Linked DNA regions of Coturnix japonica. The protein of the gene in region 1 purifies or fractionates together with the protein of each later gene. This does not show direct contact. Links are inferred from orthologs where the notes say so. Each region holds a gene or a part of one and is shown in the gene's direction. Other genes may lie near its edges. The genes, in order: SLC6A15, GOLGA5 and glycerol-3-phosphate acyltransferase 3.

What was found.
Region 2: the proteins of SLC6A15 (region 1) and GOLGA5 purify together in Homo sapiens (co-immunoprecipitation; 3 studies listed by BioGRID and IntAct, counting the BioPlex papers as one, with this or other methods). This does not show direct contact. The link is inferred for Coturnix japonica from reciprocal best matches to the Homo sapiens genes SLC6A15 and GOLGA5.
Region 3: the proteins of SLC6A15 (region 1) and glycerol-3-phosphate acyltransferase 3 purify together in Homo sapiens (co-immunoprecipitation; 3 studies listed by BioGRID and IntAct, counting the BioPlex papers as one, with this or other methods). This does not show direct contact. The link is inferred for Coturnix japonica from reciprocal best matches to the Homo sapiens genes SLC6A15 and GPAT3.

What each region holds. Positions count from the first base shown.
Region 1 is NC_029516.1:37,875,307-37,882,545, reverse strand, and holds the start of SLC6A15 (sodium-dependent neutral amino acid transporter B(0)AT2), read left to right. Parts: upstream 1-2,804; 5' UTR 2,805-2,916; intron 2,917-3,029; exon of another isoform or gene 3,030-3,142; intron 3,143-3,436; exon of another isoform or gene 3,437-3,642; intron 3,643-7,239.
Region 2 is NC_029520.1:40,659,517-40,666,811, forward strand, and holds the start of GOLGA5 (golgin subfamily A member 5), read left to right. Parts: upstream 1-2,460; 5' UTR 2,461-2,548; exon of another isoform or gene 2,549-2,652; intron 2,653-2,785; exon of another isoform or gene 2,786-2,918; intron 2,919-3,294; 5' UTR 3,295-3,342; coding exon 3,343-3,904; intron 3,905-6,057; coding exon 6,058-6,279; intron 6,280-7,295. UniProt on the Homo sapiens protein: Involved in maintaining Golgi structure. Stimulates the formation of Golgi stacks and ribbons. Involved in intra-Golgi retrograde transport.
Region 3 is NC_029519.1:41,397,910-41,405,144, forward strand, and holds the start of glycerol-3-phosphate acyltransferase 3, read left to right. Parts: upstream 1-3,362; 5' UTR 3,363-3,450; coding exon 3,451-3,594; intron 3,595-7,235. UniProt on the Homo sapiens protein: Converts glycerol-3-phosphate to 1-acyl-sn-glycerol-3-phosphate (lysophosphatidic acid or LPA) by incorporating an acyl moiety at the sn-1 position of the glycerol backbone.

The sequences.
Region 1 (7,239 bases):
TTAACATGATGGTATTGTTTCATGTTGGGAAGTATCTGTGACATTTTATTTCTCCAGTATTTCTCTCATTTAACAAGAAGTGACATCTTTAACTGAAGCATCATGGAACAGATTTTACAGAGAAGTCTGAAGAGTTTCAAACCACTAAATCATTCTGTCCTGGAAGTTCATGCCTTGGACCATGAATGAACTTTAGGGACGATTTAACCAGTTAACTCATCTTTATTCTTATTTTGGCATGTGCAAGTCTACTTCATCTTAGCTTGAAGAATGTTGTTTTTTTACTTTCGCCTTTTACAGAAGGACAATCTATCACAGTAATGAATACAAATACTTCAGAGCATAAGAGATTTTTAAAGACCTAGGTATGTTATTAATTAAGACTGCAGTGATTGAATAGTTAAAAGATGCATAAAAATATGATTTCTAAGCAATTTTATTTATTTATTGTTTTCTTTTTAGACTTGCTTACATCCAACAAAATGCAGTTTTACTGTAGGACATTTTTCATGCTGGCCTTTCTTGCTTCTCACTCAGACTCTTTCTGTCCTCAGATCTCCTGAGTTGCCAGCACAGATAGAGCAGATGCATCAAGTTTGAACAGCAAATGAGGCATTCTCTCTATATGCATAGTCACTTGGCTTACAGAATGATAGATTAGCCTACAATGTATCTCAACATTGTAAAGGGTTACTCTCAATATTTTCATCTATCAATGGCTTCTAGTGCTTAAAAACATGGCAAGAAAAAAATGGCAAGCTACTTTTGTATATTTTTGTCACTTATACACACTCACTTCTACAGTTTTGAAGATGGAAATATTTCCTCTTTCAAGATTGAATCAGAGTGAGATTTGAAGATGACTGTTTTAAGTTTCAGCGAACTTAATAACAAGATGAAAAATGTGATGGCAAGATCTGCAGCAAGAGTATCCTACTTAGAAGAGCTGCAGTAAAAGTGCCCTAGCCCATCTATTCAGAATGTAAGTTGTTGGGTTGCAGAAAGTCTGAAGAGGAAAATACTGCTGAACATTTACCCTTGTGATATTTTGTATTTGCTTATTAAAATGTTATTAGCAGAATTGCAGTTGCTGAAAGAAAAGGTAAGTAACTGATGATCTGTTTGATGGACATCAGAAATTGAACGATGCCTTTCTCACAGTAAAATTAGTCATCAGATAACTGACAATATGATTACAGATCTGAGCTCATCATTAACTGTACACAGAATTCAAAAAGATCCAGGAATGACCTTTTTCTGCGGCAATAAGCTGATCATATGATAACATTATCAGTTAATCTTAAAAAAAAAAAAAAAAAAAAAAAAAAAAAAGCCTAATTCTTATCATGTGGTAGTAGAACATGTAAATTCTTCTGCTTATTGATGCTTAGTATAAAGAAGTTTGGTTTACATTTAGAACTTCTTTAAGGAAAGTTCATTATCACTGAGTTCCAAATAGTATCTGATCACAGGATGGTTTGAGTTGGAAGGGACCCTTAAAGGTCATCTCATCCAACTCCTCTGCAGTGAGCATGGATAGATACCTAAAGCTAGATCAGGTTACTCAGAGCTCCATCCAGCCTGACCTTGAACTCACTATGGATGAGGCATCCACCAACTCTAAGGCAACCTGTTCCAGTGCCTTGTCACACTCAAAGAAAAAAGACAAAACCAAAAATAAATTTAATCAAACATATTGTAAATATATGTAGAATACAGAATACATTGTTTACAGAACTGTTTCTGCACACAACTCAAACACTGCTTCTTGAAATTCTTATTAAAATGTACTAACAATGAGGAACATACCACACAGCGACAAACTGCTTCTGATAATGAGGTAGAAATATGAACAGAAGTTCGCACCACACCTTTCTCAACTAAACATTCAGGTCAGCTAGAGAGACTGCAACACTGAAGAAATATCTCTCCATGATTCAGGCAGTGTAGGGAAGTTCTATTCAGTTCCAACATGTGTTAAATTGTTGCAGTTATTGTTGCACTAATTCACAGTGAACTCTAAAAGAGTTCATTCTCCATTCCATTGCGCCCTTCTTCAGCAGAGCAAACCTGCCTTCCTAGGCCAGCTGTGTGCCTCTAAGCAGTTTCCTTTCCATCCGTTATCATCTGTCTTCCTCCTAACCAGAACTGATGAACATTTTTTTGAGAAAAATGCTTGCAAACAAGCAAAACAGAACAAGGCCAGTGGACAGACTTAGTGATAGGAAGCTTACAGGGTAAATAAAGATAAATGTCTCAATTTCACACCCCCACATTGCTGCTGTTTGTGGCAGCAATGAAAACTAGCGCTACAAGACTTCTTCACCACCACGAGCAGCCCTTGTTGGTGCTATCTGTAGTGTGCATCCCGGCCTCCAGCCCGAAGATGGACCCACGGCAGCCGTTCTGCTGCAGTCCTTTCCCTGACTGCCTGCTCTTTCCTCAGATCTGCATCCCTCACTCTTCTGCACAACCACCTGGGGGTCTCCTCCCGGCCCGTTCCCCTGTACCCTTACCCTAAGGCCCCTCGCAGCCCACGCATGAAGCACATGGGTACGGGTCTGCGAGTAGGCCCCGGCGGCGCCGGCAAGAGGGCGAGTAGGTGGGGGGCGTCTCCCTTCTCCTCCGCCCCTCCCCGCCCGCCTCCAGCTCAGGAGATGCTGCTGCGGGCGGTGGAGGCGGGGGGGGCTCTTCCCTGCGTCAGGAGGTGCGGCTCCCCCGGCCCACCACCGCCCTCCCCCTTTGCACTCCCCCCGCCGCTTTTATGTCTGTCTTTAAACACCGCCGCCGCAGCCAGGGTTGGGCACATGTGCGCGCCGTCACTGTCTCTCCGCTACTGAGCCCCGCGCCCGTTTAGCTCCGCACACTGCTCCGTGAGGGCACACGGCTCCTTCTCGCTGTCGGTGGGTGGAGGAGGTAAGGCGGAGGCTCCGATGGCGCGGCGGAGAGCGGCGGGCGTGTCGGTCGTGCTCGTCCCCGGGTCTGTGCCGCCGGGCGGGGAGCGGAGCGGGGTGCCCTGCGCTCGATGCCCGCTTTCCTGCGGCCCCGCGAGCAGAGAGCCGGCCCCTCGGGAGACAATAGCGAGCGCCCACTGGAAGCCGCGCATGTGTTTGAACTCAGCGGTGGGTTGCAAAGATGTTAGGTGCGCTTTTCCTTTCCCTCTCTCGTTTTTTTATTATTTTTTCTTTTTTTCTTTACTCTTAACAGAGGATATACGTTCTTTTCGTACCACGAGTGACAAAAAAATTCATTCATTCATTCATCTCCCGCATGTGACGTACACTACTTTCAGCGCGAGTTTCAGTAGCAGAAGTGGGGCGGGGGGCGGCTGCATGGCAAGGTCCGCGGCGTTCTGCAAGCGGCTGCCTCCGGGTTTCTGCGGATGCGGGGCAGAGATGTGCCAGTCGCACCCATCATCTTCTTGTCCCCTCCGCAGCCCCTGACGCTGCAGGAGCCGGGCGGAGGAGGGCTCGGGCCTGGCTGCGCAGCGCTGCTGTCGCTGAGTATCGGGCGTCGCCCGCGGAGAGCGGCGCGGATCCTCCCAGCGCTCCCCGCATCCCGCATCCCGCATCCCTCGGCTGCGGTGGCCGGAGCAGAACGGCAGGCGCAGGACCGGCGCGCCCCGGTGTCAGCCATGTTTGGGTGGGTATGGTAATGAGGACCTTTTCTCAGCCTCCATGCGTCTGGAGGGTATTTTCTTTAGGGGCTTGTAATGACTGCAGCCCTCTGCAAAATCCACAGCGTGACAGATTGATGCCCGCACTTCTCTTCCAAGTTTTAAAATCTCATCTCTTATTAAATCTTAAATTTCCCATGCTCACGTTTGCATTAGGGTAAACTGGGATTTAATTGCGATGCTTTGCTTTTGTTGTGGAAGTAAATGTGATGCCTGCTCCATCACACTGATTTGCAAGTTGAGATGTTGCAATGGAATTTACTATGTTTCAGTAGTTTGTGCTTTGTTTTATTTTTAAAAGATACTGTAGCCAAGACCTCGTCCTTATCAGCCATTTTATTTTTGTCTGTGTGATATTGCTGTGTATCAAACTCACTGCCGTAGTATTGATTTCTAGGAGAACCTTAATTATTTTTAAACAGTAAGGCACCACAAATATGGCGCTGTTACATGCTGTAGGATGGAGATCCAAATCTGCTCTCCACTCCAAAGGAGAGTATAAATGAAGAAAACAAAAATTTCATTGACTTATCTGATGCAATGTTCATATGCACTGGATGTATTATCCATCTATTATTCTGCTTTCTCCACTTAATAGAAAACAATGCCAATATTTATTTCTTTATTTGTTTATTTATTTTAATCTATTGAGCATTGTGTTTTTCAGATACACATTATCAGTATCTTTTTAAAAAGGAAACTTTACCAAATATGTAGGTAGGTTATTTTTTTTTTTCTCTCTCTCTCTTGGATAATAAGAAATAAAAGAAATAAATTTACACCAAGACCTTATTAAGACAACATAAGAATTACAGCATGAGTCTGCATTTGCTTATCAAAAATTTCATTTGGCCTCAGTTAGGCACTTCAGATTCAAGAAGAAATATTTCCAATGGTTTTGATCTATAGATGAAAAACCAAGCAATTTAATTGCTATTTGGGTGTTCAACCAATTCTGAAATTGAAGAAGTGCTAAAGCATGTTAAAACTGCTTTTGCGGGCTAAGCTGATTCCTGTTGACCTCCAGTGTCTTGTCATTCTTACAGCTTTTATTTTTTTTTCTTACAGGCGAGCGAGCAAAAAAGTAGTAGTGCAGATGAAGACCATATAGTTTGAATGATCTGTCAACTCTTTGGTCTGCCGTATATTGCAAAAGGCTGTATACACAAAAATTTTAGAATGTTGAATTTATCAGAAAAAATAAATAAATCACAGGTCATTCAGAAATATATTTTGGGGGATAACAGCAAGAAACATGCAATCAACTAATAAAAGCTAATCCTTTTGTTATAAATTGCTTTGCTAATGTACATTGGGGTAGTTGCTGTGGGGGTAGTATGGAATTAAATCTCTAGGGAAGGGTTTGTGGTAGAAATATTCTCAAGAAGACAGAATTTATTCTCTAAACCTCTAGTGCGCAACTAAGAACATCCACAGATTTATGTGTGCTCACCCATGTCCCCAGCTTGCTTTTCTCCACTACACTTTTCCACTCACATCAAGGAATAATAATCTTGCTCCAAAATATAGGATATCTATTGAGTTGTTTTGTTTTTTTTTTTGGAAGAACAGTTTAATCATAAACTATCTATATCAGCAAACAAAAAGTTGTAAAAGAGAATAATATTAGAAGCGGCTTTTCTATGTGATCTCTAAATTTTCAATTGGTTGTAGAAGAACTTTGACATATCAGCAGGTGGCATCCCAAAACTTCAGGAGCTCTCTTTTTCTTCAAGTAGCCTTGCCGTTATTACTCAGGAAATGTTCTAGGAAAACTTATCAGTGAATAATGATAACTGAACATTATTCTTTCAAACAGCTAGATATTGAAAACCTGAGAAGTTCATACAAAATAGGATGAAATATCAGTGGTAACTGGTAGAAGAGTTTTTAGAGAATGGGATTAATTGGGCTGAGTTTCCCAGAACCCTGCATTGAAACAGAAATCCTTGTTCTTATTCTTCACTCTGAGACTAGCAGTTCCTTATTTGCTGTATGGAAAAGATAAAAGAACAAGGCTGTATAATGCTGTGTACAGTAAGGCCTTGAATTTAGTTCATGGTACCAGTGGTCTTTTTCCCATTTTGGGAAAACTGACTTTTACTGCTGGCAAATGATATTACTATTTCAAGTACCAGAAATGTGTACTGCAGCGCTAATGATTCAGCATACTCTTATGCTAAAATGGAGAAGGGATGAGAAACTGGAATAGGGACTTTATAGTTTTGAATTTTCTATAATGGAGTTTCAATTAAATATTTTCTTTTTATATTCAGGGATTTACTCTAACTTAATTTGAAAGCATGATTTATATCATTAATAAAACACTTTGTTTTGAGGAGAAGCAGCATTTCTGCTAACATACAGTTTACATATATATACACATATATACATATATACATATACATATATATACATATATACAGCTTATGTATAGAAAGCAGGGAAAAAAGTGAATATAATTTATTTATTTATTTATTTTCCCCAAGGACAACTTGATTTACTTATTGATCAGTTCAGATGCACAGAAGGAAAATGTCTAATTTTCAATACTTGACTTTTTCAACTTAAATAACTTCAGTTCTTGAATTAATTATTTGAGATATTTTCATATCCTCTCCCATCTCAAAAGTGTGAGATAAGGTTTTATAAGAAAATCATGGTTGTGTTGTGGCTTATATGGTTAGTTTAGAAAACAGAGATTTTGTTTCACATTGCCAACCATTAAGGCTATCACACTTTTCCAGTTAAAAGTTGTTACCTTCAGAACTGCAAGCATTACTTCATGCAACAAGCTGGAAGAGTGGTAGCTACTACATTTGATTCTTCAATAAACCAATCAGGATAAGTGATAGTTTTCTCCAGCTGAATAGGAAATTACAGAGAACATGCCCAGCAATTCTGTTAAGCATTTCAGTGAGGTTGATTTGTGAGAAGAAAATACTGAGAAGCACATGAAAGCTGGTGATAAACTACTGTAGGACCAATAAAGTTCAGAGACTGTGTGAAGTGGAAAGAAATAAAATGTTGTTTAAGAGGCCTGGGTTGTAACCTTCTCTCTCAGATATTTTTCTTCACCCAGTGATGCTGAAGAAATTGAACAATTCTGAGAAGCAAATCTTACTTTTTCTGTTAAGATATTGTGTTTTTCTTCTGACTGTAGAAGACATTTTCCAGTAACTGGAGGAGACTAGTCTGGAAAGGAAATTGTTGGTGAATTCTTGATGCACAACAATAAGACCATTTTGTAGGAACTGAGAACAAATTTCCCAGTGATTCTAAGCAGACCCTGTGTCACTGAAGTATGTAACTACCCATATTTACATCAGGTCTGAATTTAATCTTGTGTATTTAAATACTTCTGCTATGGTCTAAATGATTTAACTTTACAGACATGAGAAACAAACGAACAAAAGAAGTGTAATGTATATTAGCATGACTCAGAATCACTATGGAATGCAGATAAATGTAAGTTTCATTTTATAGAATATTTATTGTAATTGAGCTAGATAGCTTTTGAATCTACTGCACTCAACCAGATAGGACAAAGTGTTAGGTCATGT
Region 2 (7,295 bases), on another chromosome or scaffold:
TGAAGAATAATAAATTACCCCTGTTATTTGCATATGGAGTAAAAGGAAATAAGGTAGTGAGAACACTGCAGGAAGGGATTCAGCATGTTTTTCCAGTAAGGAGCAGTGACTTTCCACCTTAGCTCTTCCTGCAGTTTTTGATTTCTCTGCCCATACAATCGTGGAAATCCATAGATGACTGATACATAGACTTATGAGAGTGCTCATCCCATTTTATTCAAAGATGCCTTTAAGTGGACAATGACATGAGGCCACTTTGAGAATAAATGAAAGGTTGAATGGCAACGCATGCAGTGATTATCACATTTTTTTCCCCCAATCTTTGATATTTGGTATATTTTCTATATCCTGGATGAAACAAAGGCTCTGTGCCAGATAGATAGTTGTCTAATAATGTAACAGGACACTGTGACAGTTAAACACTCATTCTCATCACTCAGCCTAGCAGGCACAGGATGCTTAGAATCAGTTGTTGACACTTAAAAACAAGGCATTTGTTTGACAGAGTTTTAAATAGAATGTGAACAGAAGATACTTTACAGTTTTTTATTCCCTCCTACTTTAGGATAACATGACTTCTGCTGGGGCCTGAAATCCTTTTTTCTAAGTAGTATCTGAGGAGGTAATAAATGCACATTAAATGGAAACAGTGATTATATCCAGCATACTGAGTCACATGATGTAGAACTTAAAGGTTGTGAACTGATTTGGTTTATTGCTTCCACAGTGTTGCTTAATCTGTCATGAGGTAGGATGGATTTTCTATTAACTCTCAAAACTGAGCTCTGTATGTTCTGAATAGGTAGCAGGGCAGATAATCTCCTCCTTCAGTTTATATCCTAATGAAGCTTAATGAAAATTGATAATTCATATCTGCTAATGAACATTTTGGAACCTTTGTCCTATGTAACTCTACATAACCTTCCCACACCTTGTGGATTCCATATGGAAAGATTATCATGATAAAATGTAGGGAATCTTCTGTAAAACAGAGGATATTCCTGAACCTCAGGACAAGAACAAGTCCTCAACAGAGAGGAATCTGAAACAGCAGGAGCTGTAAGTGCAGCTTAAGTATGTTTTTCCAAGGCCTTGCACTATCCTGTCAAGAAGAAAAGATGGGAAAAATAAAAACTACTTTTAGGGCCAGATGCCTTTGTTTTAGTCACCAACTACTCCAATGGGCAATGTGACTTATGGGAATTGATCAAACTATCTCCCCATCTGATATGTATATGGAAAAGAACATGAAGGATCTTGTGTGTAAATCTGACCTCCACCAAAAGGTTTCACCTTGAAATGATAATTGACAATTACTGTAAAAACTGTCCCTTAGAGCATAACTTACTTATTAAAACCTTAACCTACTTGTTAAGTGTAAATATATGTAAACTCATCATGTTTAAGGAATTTGCTGTATTATACACAGGACTGGAGCAATTGTGAAGGAAAATCTATTCTTACTCTTCTGAATGTGACATGAGCTCTATTCTTGAGATAGGCTTCTCTAATGTTTGCCTTAACTGACCTACCAGTTATCTGGCTTTCCACAAAATAATAATAATAATAATAATAATAATAATCATCATCATCATCAGTTTTTGTTTTCTTCACTCACCATCACGTGCTAAGCACTCAAAACAGATGCCTTGGGCTTCACTTCCCCTTTTAGCTAATGAATACAATAAGTTACAGATGAATGAAACAACCCTGTGGGTTACGTGTACTTTTCTACTTACCCAATAATAAAAACTGAAACTATCTAAAAATTACTTCAGTGCCAGACACAGAAACCATAGAAAAGTCTCTCAATGAAAAGGAAGCTGAAGACTGGGAAATTACAAGGACTTAGTGCTTAGGTTATTTCTTTACCAGTGGGAGCCCTAAGATTCTCTTATACATCTGAACAAGGAGATGGGAAGCCCTTGAGCTGACCTCACCTCTTGTCCCCTCTAAGCTTAGTCACAATACCCAATGTAAACTTTATCTTCAAAGAAAATAATTAAGACAATCTTATGTCTGTTATCCAAATAAGAGCCAGCACTGCTTTCAAGGAAGCTCAGCAGAAACGGGGCCATCTGGGTGTTATCATACAGGATAAACGTGTGGGAAAGACTGCTGCAAGAGGATACGGGAAAGGCTGCTGCAGGGGGACGAGTGTGGGTCTGGACATGAGGCTTCTGGGAAGAGTTTTGTGCGGTCAGGAGGATGGAAGAACACAGTTATTTGCATTTATTGTGCTGGCAGAGCGGAGGGGTTTATATCCTACTGGTTCCGCGTTCTTTGGTGTTTTAAGCTGCCTTCGAGAATCAGGTGATGCCACCTGTCAATCGCTCTCCTACACAGCATCAACTTGGCCAAGGAAAGCTAGAGGACACCGGGCTGCATGTAACAGCCTGACCGCTCGCACGGCGGGGCTGCAGCTCCCCCTGCCAGCACAGCGCAGAAACACGTTGCAATCCCCGCCCGTTGCAATCCCGGCCCAGCCCTGCTCCCGTAGCAGGCATGCGTGCGGAGCGGCCCGGAAGGCGGCCACGTCTACCGGAAGGTGCGCAGTGCCGGGCAGTGCCGGGCCGGGCTTTGCCGTGTGTTGTGAAGTGGGCTCCGGCTGCCGCTCTGCTCGGGCTGGGGTGTTCCTGGCGCTGGGAGGAGGTGAGGCCGGGCTGTGCTGAGGCCTCCGCAGCTCCTGAAGGCTGCCGGGTGGGAGTGGGGGCCTGGGCGGGATCTCACGGCCGCTGCGCCGTTCTGGATCCGGGTTGGGCCCTCCGCAGGCCGGCTCTGGGTAAAGGGGCCCTGTCGTGGGCTATGAGTGCCGGGGAGGTGCTCCTCGTCCCCCTGTGCTGTCATAGCGGCACCTCAGGGCAGCAGTTAGTTCTGAGGGAAGATCCTTCCTCTGACCTACCTGATGGAAGCTGCAGGTCAGGCATATGAGAGATCGTACATCCATCTATTTCTGTAATATGTTGGTTGACACGTTTTCCTCCTCCACTGTGATTGTTGTCAGTTGCAAATAGACTTTATCTTCTATTACCGCTGCAGGTCGGCTTACGGGTTGCATCAGCACCTGCTAGGAACAGACATGGCTTAATGGCAAAGCCATGTGTTTTTGTATATTATGTTAAGAAACTAAATTGGTTTATATCCATCTGTCATAAAAACAACAAAATACAAATCTGGTAGGAAAAAAGTGTTAATGTAGTTACAGCAATAATAGATGAATGCAGCAGTTTTTCAGTAACCCACACTTCTTGCCTTCTCAATGCCTGTCTGACTTTAAATTATTCTCTTTTGCAGCATATGTTCCTGAAATTTTGATGTAGAGCTCATCAGCAGACGTTTATCATGTCTTGGCTTGCTGATCTGGCTGGAAAGGCAGAGGATCTTCTCAACAGAGTTGATCAAGGAGCTGCATCGGCTCTGAACAAAAAAGACACACCAAGCAATGCAGTTTTCGATAGCAAGAACTTGGACTCTGCCAGTGAATATTCTGAATTGTCCCCGCATGCCAGAGAACTGAAATATCAGACATCATCCAAAGCAGCCTACATCTCCTCAGCAGCTGATAACATTAAAAACCAAAAAGCTACAATCTTAGCAGGAACAGCAAATGTAAAACCGGCGCGTAGAACAAATTCAGAAGTTGCTTCTTCAGCAGAAAGTGTTTCCACGTCCAGAGCTTCCTCACATTTTGTGAGGAGAAAAAAGTCTGAACCCGATGATGAGTTGCTGTTTGATTTTCTCAACAGTTCTGAGAAAGAGCCTAATGCAAGGATGGACTCTAAAAGAGAGAAGAGCAAGACACCTGTTCAAAATCACTCTCGGACTTCAAGCATTAGTTCTGTATCTACTGGTACACAGAGTGCAGTGGCTACTGAAGATAATTCTGTCAAGGGCAAAAGCAATGGTAGTTTAATAATATTAAATCTAGAGATATTTTACACCCCTGTATGTGTAGTGTAAGGCTAGGTAAAGGATTTTTTGTCACTTCATGAAAGATTTGGTGGCAGCAGTATATCACATGTGTGAAGTATTTTTCATCACTAGAATAATGATAGATACTACAGTAATTTGGCAGGTTATATCACTTGTCACTTAAATGCTTTGTGTTCTTTATCTGCTTCACTGCTACTGCTCAACTCATCCCGCCTTAGTCGTGGTCTGATGCTGCATCAGCACCCATGCATCCCCACTTGGAAGTGTTGGTTCTGGCACTGCTGCATTTGTTCCCTTGCCTGGGGTTGTTGCCTGTTATGATGTCACATATGGGAGCAAGTGACTTTTGTTACAGCTGGTAAATGGTTCTAGCTGTTACCCAATGCCCTGCCTGGTACAGTGTGAGCTTCTCTCTGCTGTGCTGTCAAAGATGGGAGAGCTGTCAAACTTTTTTGGCTTGGATGGTAGGAAAATGGGTATGCTTCTCTTGAGCTGCAGGCATGAGAAAGTGAGATAGGCAGAGTTCAGTTTTTGCCAGAAGTAGTGCATTGCTGCAGATACCTGAAATAGTTTCCAGGCCAAGTGGTTAAAAACTCAAGCGTCTGCTAAGGAGAATGAAACTGTTAGAAACTTTTATTCTCTGTCTGGCTCTCCAGTCTTTACTATTGTTTTGTCTATAAAATTGAAGCAAATAGTTGTATTTCTAATAGTGTAGCTAGAGTATTGTTTGCATGTAGAGCACTGTGCCAGTTTTTGACTTGTAGAATCCTCAGAGTTGGAAGGGACCTTTAAAGGTCATCTAGTCCAACTCACCTGCAATGAACAGAGACATCCACAGCTAGATCAAGTGGTTCAGAGCTTGGTATATAGTATGTTGTACCTTGATAGCTGATGCCTGGGGAACAGTTATTTTGCTCAGTGTGGTACATTTTATTTTTCAGTGGAGTTTGCATCTTGGAGCTGCTAAGTGAGGAAGCACATGATTAACGTGTAGAGTTTGGGCACACTAGTTTCAAAGTCAGTTATATTATCAGTCATTCCTATGTCCTGCATAACAACTGTTGAAACAGATTATAGTCCATTAGTTACAGACAAAAGTAATGAATGTTATAGTATTATGTTGCATTGGATACAATCTGCTATAAATTGATATTTTTAGCTTTATTAGCTTCATAGGACTCTCATGTTTTCCAGACAAAGGAATGAAGATAGATTGATAATTTCAAAAGTATGTAAATGAATTAAAAGGAAGGAAGGAATACTTCTTAAAAATGTTTCAATAGGAAAGGGACTGGAGAAAACATGGAATACATTTTTCAATCGCTGTGATTACTTGTTGTGTGCTGTGAGGAATTCCCAGTCTGCCCCATCTCCTTGATGAGCTGTGGCTCATGAAACCTGTTGCAGTGGCAGCTAGGAAGGTGGAGTGGATTGATAATCACAGAGCGAAGAAAATGGTGTTGTGACAGCTAAACTGCGGTCTGGCATTGAATTTGCTGTAGTCTGTCCCTGTGGATTTTCAACAGTTGTCGATCTGGGGCACAGTGAATTCAGAAGGAATGTTTTTGCATTGCTTGCTTGGTTGTTCACTGTGTGCTGTGTTGCTTTCTGTTAATACTGGTACAAATCCTCCAGCTGCCTGCACATAGCAATCAACACTGCTAGAGTGGCTGCATTAATTTCAGAACACTAATCCAGTACCATGTGTGTGCTGAGGAAGGGCTGTAGGTTTCCCCCTTCAAGTGAGTTCTGTTCAGATTGCATCAGAAATTCCTATATTGCTTTTTAAAAGTGAATATTAAAAGCATGTTTTGAGAGAATTGTTACTGATGCAGAATCATCAGTAAGATGATGCTTCAACTGAAGGTTCCTGAAACACTCTTTTACATAAAGGTAGCTAAAACATACAGCTCTGTGGCCAAATAACTTATTTAGGTTTGACACAAAAATATGTTATATTCTAATATATATAAGCTATTATATATAATAATATATATGAATATATATAAGCTAATATATATATATAAGCTATTTTGACTTTTAAAAATTAGATTAAGTGCATTCAACCACTGATACAGACCTACAGATGGTTAGATCAGTTCTAACTTGTATTTCTCTGTACAGAAACTCCAGACAGCTCAGATTCTGGACTGGGAACACAAGTGGATGGCACGAAGGATTCATCACTAAGTGCAGTAACTAATCCTGGCCTTTCAGCTAATGATGATGTAAAATCACATGAGCTGTCCAACCTTCGTCTAGAGAATCAGCTGTTGCGGAATGAAGTGCAATCTTTAAATCAAGAAATGGCTTCATTAATTCAGAGATCCAAAGAAACACAGGAAGGTATCGTAGTTCGGAACCTAAACTGGTAACATACTGTGAAAATACTGGTAAACTGGGAAGCAATGCTATTTCTGTGTTAGTGTATATTTATAATAAAAACTTCCTAGATAAATCTGCATGTGTGACTTAGGCAAAATGATTCTTGGTTTTCAAAATAATGAGCTGAGAGAAATGGGAAGTCTTTTTCAACTACAAAAATAACACACATGTTGATGAAAGTGATGTAGTTGAGTTAGTTCCGACACTTAGATCTTAATACTAGCAAATATTAAGTGTGAAATTATTTTTTTTCTGCCTTCTAAAGTTCCTTGCAAAATAGTTACGAATAAATGCCTTTAAGAGCTTGAAACCTGGCTGCTTTCTGTCTGTAGCTGATGGCTGGTAAAAATTTCAGATTGAGTATTTTTGCATGTCTACAGTAGCTTTTTATTCAAGGCTACACTAAATGACATATAGCAGATGTGAATATAAAAACAAACAGTAAAATACTTTACAAAGTACCTCAGGCAGAGGAGGGACTCCTTTTTTATTCTTTTCTTTTAAAGTAACTGTATAAGCTGCAGAATTTATTCTCCATTGAAGTTTGGCATGTGAACTTTGATTAAAAACAAGGTCTCAGTAAATATTTAGGCATCATTTTAACATAGTAATTGTCTGCTTTTATTTAGGTTGATCTTATTGTCATGTAGTGTTGAATCAGATGCTTTCTATGGAGGTTTCCAAAGGTTTGCTCAGACAGGGTTATTCAGCAGTAGTTCACTGCAAGGATTAAGACAGATTGTCAGCTGCAAGACAGAATGAAAACGTGTTCTGAGATCATTGTTTTTTTAGTCATTCATGATCTGACAGCCAAAGTCTGGTATTGCTACTTTTTGGTACATCCTAAAGTTTCAGAATTGCTTCACCTTGGTTGTATTTGATCTTTTCCTTTAGGAAGTGTGGTGTGCACATCCTGAGCATTTAAAAAACCTGGTCATGATCTGTTTTTAAAAACTTCAAATAAACATTTTACTTTG
Region 3 (7,235 bases), on another chromosome or scaffold:
CTAATTGTAGCTGTATCACTGAACTCCTAGCAACTGTAATCTCTAATTTATGGAATTTAAATTGATTGAGGTGTGATATACCTCAGTGCTGAGTGGATAAAATGTGCAGTGCTCCTGCGCCTCAATCCTTGCTGGGGGCTGCACACAATTCACTGCAGCTCTGTGAATACGGACTGCTAGGCATAAAAGCTGTGTAAAAGCGAAGCTACCTCTAAAGCTTATCTGTAGTTTCTGTGCAACAAGGATTAGAAGTTCACAGAAGCACGGCAGAGGGTAAAATTCCAGGTAGGTTCCAGGATACAAACTGAGGCTGAAACTATCTGACTCTTCTGTGTATACAGCATATCAGTTTTTACAGTGTGTTATAGCAAATAAAGTGCTGGAGAGAAGGCATGACCTGCCTGCGATCACGAGACAAATGAAAGAGAGCAGAATTCCCAAGTGGTTTATTGGCTACCTGCCATTGCAGAACAGCAGAATGGCACGAGATAGAAGGTAATATTGGAATAAGTATGGTATGTAGGACCGTATTTGTTTCTAAAAGAATACAGATACCTACTGTTTGATATTCTGAAGCTGCTGGCTCCAGTGACAGCAGACAAGCAAAAAGCTTACTAGATCTGACCCACCAGCAGCCAATAATATGTACAATAACTTAGCAATGCTTAAGGAGACAATGCTGTCCAGATACTTCAGTGGGATTGCTCTGATTCTGGAAACCAAGTTTGCAGTTACACACCCCAGAGCCAGACTCTACAGGGACTGATAATCAAGTAGGATACAATAAGTACAGCCAAAAGAAATAAATTAAAAGGCTCTGCAGTTTTTGGATTCATTTGGAGCATCTGGTTTAGATCAACTTAGAGCATTTAATTTCAACTTCTGCACTTCTTTGCATGTATTGTGCTTCATGGCAGAAGTCAAAGTGTGAGGATTGCATTAGAAAGTATGACTGTGTGTAGTCTTTGCACATAAAATAGGCCTTCAGAAAATGAAACCATTGAAAACTGTTAACGTGAGTGCACTCTCTGAGTCTTTGGTGGAATGATGCTGCCATGTTCATGTGAAAGTATGGTTACAATACCTGAAAGAAAAAAGCAGGAGTGGGGCAGTAGGACTGCATGTTCTCATGGAGTACATACAGACAAACAAAATGGAATGATGGAATGAATTTTAAACTAATTTATCAGTAGATAAATGATCAGTGGTTTATAACAGCTGGATATATATATATATTTTTTCTTAAAGAGGCAAAGGCCACTTGGCAACGACAGTAATTTATTTTTCCTTTAAGTAAGTCAACAGTTTTTGCTAGCTGTCCTTTGATGGGAGTGCAAGATGAATTGAAAGAAAGCACTTGAGCACGTTCACGCCAGGAGCTGGCAGCTTTGTCACTAAGAGGAGGATGTCACATTACCAGACACACTCTGCCAGGCAGAGAAAATGGTTCTTTGAGCAGCTCACCATGGAAATTGATTTTTCTCCAATTTAACATTAATATCCTTGTGAATTATTCATTTAAGAGTACAGTGGAAACCTGGATGCAGTAGGTTCTGTTTATGTGTTCAGCCTTGCTTCAGTGTGGGCACCTGAAACTGGAGCCTGTTAGTATTTCTTTTCACCAGCGTTTTATTCCCCATTATCCTTCTGTAACAGCAAGAATCAAAATAGTGATCTTCCCATGCTGTAAGAAACAAATGGTGGAGGCTGTGCATTCCCTACTGTTTGCTCATGGAGTCTGCAGATGTCTGAATACGTCTGATGCCAGCCAGAACAGGGGTAGGTAAAAACAGACATGCTGTTTAGTAGGAAAGTAACACCTTATTTCCTCATGATATAAGATAAGGTACTATAGTTAGGCTGCGGTTGGACTTGATGATCTTCAAGGTCTTTTCCAACCTGGGTAATTCTATGATGAATGTTATAAGAAGAGGCCTCGAGGATTTTCCTCTGATGTTTCAGGGACATGGACGGATCTCAGCCCCCTCACTCCAGAATTTGGTGTGGCATGCACTGTATTGAGTTCAACCTTTTTGTTTTACGAGAACCCTGGCTAACAAGTGCTCAGGATGGATAAAAATCATCCATTGCTTTTAATTTTTAAGGTTCTGTCAGCCAATAAAAAAAACCCTCATACTGCACAGGTATGTCTATATTATTGACCTGGGGAGCAAGACAAGTTACGCTGTTGCTACTTTTCTACATCTGTCCTTAGGATAGAGATTCCAGATTCTCAATGCTCTGAATAAACAAACCAACCAACCCCCTTGGCATTCTCCATTTGCATCAGCAATGAACATTCATGGGTAAAGAATAAAGGCCATGGTTGTCTTCCTGATGGTGAAAAAAGAGAACGTGAATTTTGAATGTAGCTCTACGGGGTGTTATATTATGAACAACACCCTGTTGTTTCTGACCCAAGCTGCCTTCTGGCTTTGTGCACAAGCAACTCACTTGGCTCCAGGTGATACAGGTATGGGAAAGAATGTGTGTATTCTTAAGTTAATCATTATGTTTTTAAAATGTATTTTGATAGCTAATGCTTGGATAATTGTCAACATTGGAATACCTAAGGCACTGCCATTTGGGACACTGGGGAAAGTTGGAATGGGATCTGTTTCATAAGAAAAATTACTAATGTATGTAATTGATGGCAGCCAATGTATACTTTGGAAGCTCAACAAAAATGGCCAGAAAATCAAACTTTTAATGATAATACTGTTCTACAGCTAATGTTATTTTATAGAAGGGAAGAAAAATGGGCTGTGGTACCATGTGTGGATATATTTTTCACATTGAGGAATGATGAGAAAAGTCAGAAGGAACACAGATTGTTGATAAAGGATAGAAATGTTTCAACGCTGGAATGGCATAGAGTAGAAATGCCAAAGCAATGTTCTTCAGGTGCTATTTTGGCCAGGAGTGTCACGTTTAAGATGTCAAAGGAGGAAGAGGATTTGGAATTGTTTGTAGCCTCCAAAAGCATAAGTGAGGTGGGGGTAGGATGTGAGCAGTCACAGAGACAGTGAAGGAGAGGCTGATAATTTTGGTACAGCAGCAAGGATAACTTGTGGGGGGGGTGTGATGTGTTACATGCTTCCTTAAGGCAAGTGGAATGGAAGAACCACACGCATTCTCCTTTGTCACAGAGGAGCGGTCTCCTCGTGTCCCCCCTGCTCCCTGTGTCCCCAACCGCCATGCAGACACCTCCGTGCTCTCCTTCTCCTCGCGCCCCCTGCAGCCGATCAGTCGTGATGCCGCGGCCGGTCCGCCCGGTGCCGCCCGTTTCGTGCACACCGCGCTGGTGCCGGTGCGGTGCGGAGGGGGCGGGCCTTGGGGCGGGCCGTACGGCCTTGGGGCGGGCCGTAGGGCCGTACGGCCTTAGGGCGGCGGCGCCCGCGCTCGCGGCGATAGTGGCAGTGCCGGAGGTGCCGGCGGGCGCTCGCCGCCATGGAGGAGCTGGGCTCGCTGGCGTTGTCGCTGGGCATGGCGTGGCTGAGTCTGGTGATCACCCTCATCGTGCTGCCTTCGGCGCTGGGTATCTCGCTGGGCATCTCCGAGGCCTACATGTGGGTGCTGGTGAAGACCCTGGAGGTAGGCGGCCCGCCCGTCCTTCGCTGACCCGGGGCGGGGGGCGTGGGGCCGCCATGGCGGGCCGGGTACGGCCTGTGGCTGTGCCGGGGGTGCTGCCTCCTTTCGTCCCGTCCTTCAGCGATGGCTCTTGGGCGTGTCTGCCGTGGATACGTTTTAAGGCTTTCCGTGCCTTAAGTGCTTTCTGGAGGCCTTAGGCAGATTTATGCTGGTGTAGGGTGAAGAGTAGCCGTTCCCAATCCGGGCTGAGGTTGTGAGGTTCTGAGCCGGCCAGGTTGGGCTGTGCTTCGTTTCCTGAGCAAACTGACTCGTCCTGCTGAGATGAATCAAGGTGAACTTGAGATGTGGATTGTCCTCTCCCACAGAACGTGTGCGTGGAGAGAACGTCTCGCAGCTGGCCTGTTGTTGAGAAATGTCTCCCGTTCCTTGGCTCACAGCTACGCCTTGCTCAGCAGCTTGACACAGAGCCAGGTCCAGGTAGTGCCTACAAGAGCCCCTGGAGATAGGTATTGTCACATCTGACTTTTCTGTGCCAGAAATAACGTTAACAACGGAACGTGGGGAATATAGGGCTGTTAGCCTTGTGCAGCTGTGCTGCCTGAAACTTCCTTGGCTGTTGAATTCAGTCTGTGGGCTTCCTGCTGAGCAGTGGCTGTGTTGAGTCATAGGATGCTGCAGTTTTGAACAAGCGAGACTCCTTGCAGTGGTTCTCTTGACAGCTTCCTCTTCAGTTCCAGCCTTGGATCTCCTGGCCAACCCCTCTTCTTTGCCAAGATAGTGGTGGGATCTTGGGCCTGTAGAGCACTTTGCACATCTGCAGCCTCTATTGTCTCTTTGGGCTGGATTGAAGGAACTATTGCTGTTTGTGAAGTATAGTGTTACTCTGCTTTGGCTGTGTATGGTCCTCTCTTGTGGTGCTACGTTTCTGCACAGCTTGTATTGTCAGGTAATGTATGTGCTTTGATAGAGCTGATCTGTTACAAGGGACTAGCTCTGTCATTTTGGACACTGGAGTTTGGGAACCAAGTAACAAGATAGTCTGAAGCATGTAGTATATCTGCTAATCCACACTAATGTGTAATGTGGCAGACAAACATGAGCCTGTGGCATGCAGTTTTCATTGAGGCTGTGGTATGGAGCAAGGCGAGAATGGTGCTGAACTTGAGACAGTATTTTTGTCTGCTTATAGAAACAGATCTGTTTACACTTGATTCAGAAGGGGTGATGCTTATTTGCCATGCTGCAGGCATGGCCTAAGGAAAGGGAGAGGAAAAGCTTTAAGGATCAAAGTGTTCTGGTGGTATGACACTACTGACGAGGGAGATCAGTTGGTGCACAATGGCTTCTTATCCATGCTGAGCTGCCTTAGCGAGGAGCATTATTCTAAGCATGTACAGACAGCAGTGTTGAGTATGTACTTCTGTTGGGCTGTGTTGATTGAACCCAGAGTATTGTACTGTCTAAACACCCCCAGGTTGCTTCCAGCTTTTAATTTTGTACATCTTTCCTTCCTGGTCTCAATCATATGCTCCCCTCCATTAATGCTTTCCAATTCTGGGGCTTTTGAGTACCACGCTACTTTCTCCTGTAGTGTGGTAACTCGTAGCAGATACTTGGAGTAGTAGGTGTGTTAACATTATGTAACTGTGGCCCCTGGTAACAGAAGCAATTTCTAATCGCTTATTATGCTGCCAGGCAGGGAATGCACTTTCACTGAGCAAGGGTGTAACAGTAGCTATGAAGCAAAGGTGCTTGCTTTAGAGATCACTGCAGCTACCCAAGAGGACCTAAAGTTGAGAATATACCTTAGGGCAACAAGGGTGTTTTGGTGCTATTGGTCAAACAGTAGGTCCTTGCCATGTAGGATGGGGTGTCTTCCTTTCCCAGTTCTCCAGGTGTCAGTTTGGCTCTTTAAGCCACCATTGGGATTAGGAGCTATGTCTTGCAGTGCTAAGTGTAAGGGCGAGTAAAGGAAAGGGGAAATACATAGCCTATAAATCTGTGAATCACTGTGGGACTGCTGATTCATGTTGAATTAATTGACTTCTTTAAGCAACCTTTGCTGACTAGTGATGTCTAACAGCATTGCTGAAGGTCTTTGTATCGTTGTAGTTGGTGTTGTTTGAGAGCTGTTGGGTGGAGAACTCTGACCTAAGAGGACAGCTCTGAAGGGGAAGAAGTTAATGGAAAGCAGCTCTTGAAGATAAGTCTGATAGGGATGATGCACCCTTGCTGACAGGCCAGAAATAGCTTCTGGAAAAGTGTTTTAGCACATCTACTGCAAAATCTTCAATTCTTTGGCTATGTTAATTAAGTACCTCAGCTGCCCTAGTCCTATGCAGGTCCTTATGGGTGGTTTCAACAGATTTAATAATGAAGGCTGCTTGTATGCAGGTCAGGTTACTAGAGCTGGGGTTACCCTCCACAGGGGTTGTATCAATAATTAATTCAACATCTTCCTGGTCAACAACACTGACCTGAAACTGCTCCTGACTTCACAGCAAAATGAGCAACAGTGTTTCTGATGCTGTTAATTAGTAAATGCTGCTTACAAAGAGCAGCAGCTCTAGCCACATCTTGCCTTAAGGTTATAATGCATGGAGCTGGTAAAAAAGAAGCTACTTAGCATTTCTGTTGCAGATCCCCCTTCTTTCCTGTAAAGCTGGACTATGTTGTCCTGTTTGGAGGCAATGACGAAGACATCTCATGAGGGTGAGGAAAAGATAATGTAGATAACCAGGGAACCTTTCACCCTCCCTCTGAAATGATTGCTCCTTTTTTTGCAGGGCTGTTTTCGTTTACACAGAATTTCCTGCCTCCCATTGTGTGGGAGGTGCTCTCAAATCTCTGTTGCTGTTGAGGTTTGGAAGGCCTCCAGGAAGGAGTGATCACCTAAACTAGCACGTCAGCTTTTGTGCTGAGTGTAACCTTCCAGCCTCTTTAAATAAAGGAACAGCAGTGATTCTAACACCGTTATGACTTGGGATTTCATTCAGCTGCAGTAGTTCGGTAATCTCTCTTCAGTAATCAGTGAACACGACTCCTAAACCAGAGACGATATTTTAAGATGTTATTTTTGCATCTGAAGTCTAATTGGGCTTTTTTTGAGTACTGCATGACCCCTGTAGGTCACTTAACTATCTCCTACAGGCTGTTGGCTTGCTGTGTGTGGTGCTTTCTTTTTCAGGGGTTGGAAACTTAAAAGCCTTTCCTATCAGGAAGAGGTGGCGACGTTCTGAAGGGAAGGCTGGTAGGCTGTTCTTATCTGGTGAGATGTAGCATGGTATCTTCAGGCCAGTGTGTGTGACTAAAGCACACAAGCTAATTAGCCCTGAGCAGCATGAATGGCAGCATTACCGAGTTGGATCTGCGTTATATGCATACTTTATCACTGTGCTGATTTTTAGCTTTACATACTAGTTCAACAATTAGCACGAGATACACAACTTATTTTTAACGTTGAAGAATCTGATGTTTTATGCTTCTTCCCAAAATTGGCTCCCATGTCCCTGGTGAAGGCTTAGGTCTGCACCTGATGCCTTGGGCTGCCTACTCAGCACCTACACTCATGTCAGTGTTAATGCAGTACATGGATGAAACCTGCCATGTGGCTTTTCGCTCATCTGCTTGAGAAAACTGAGCCC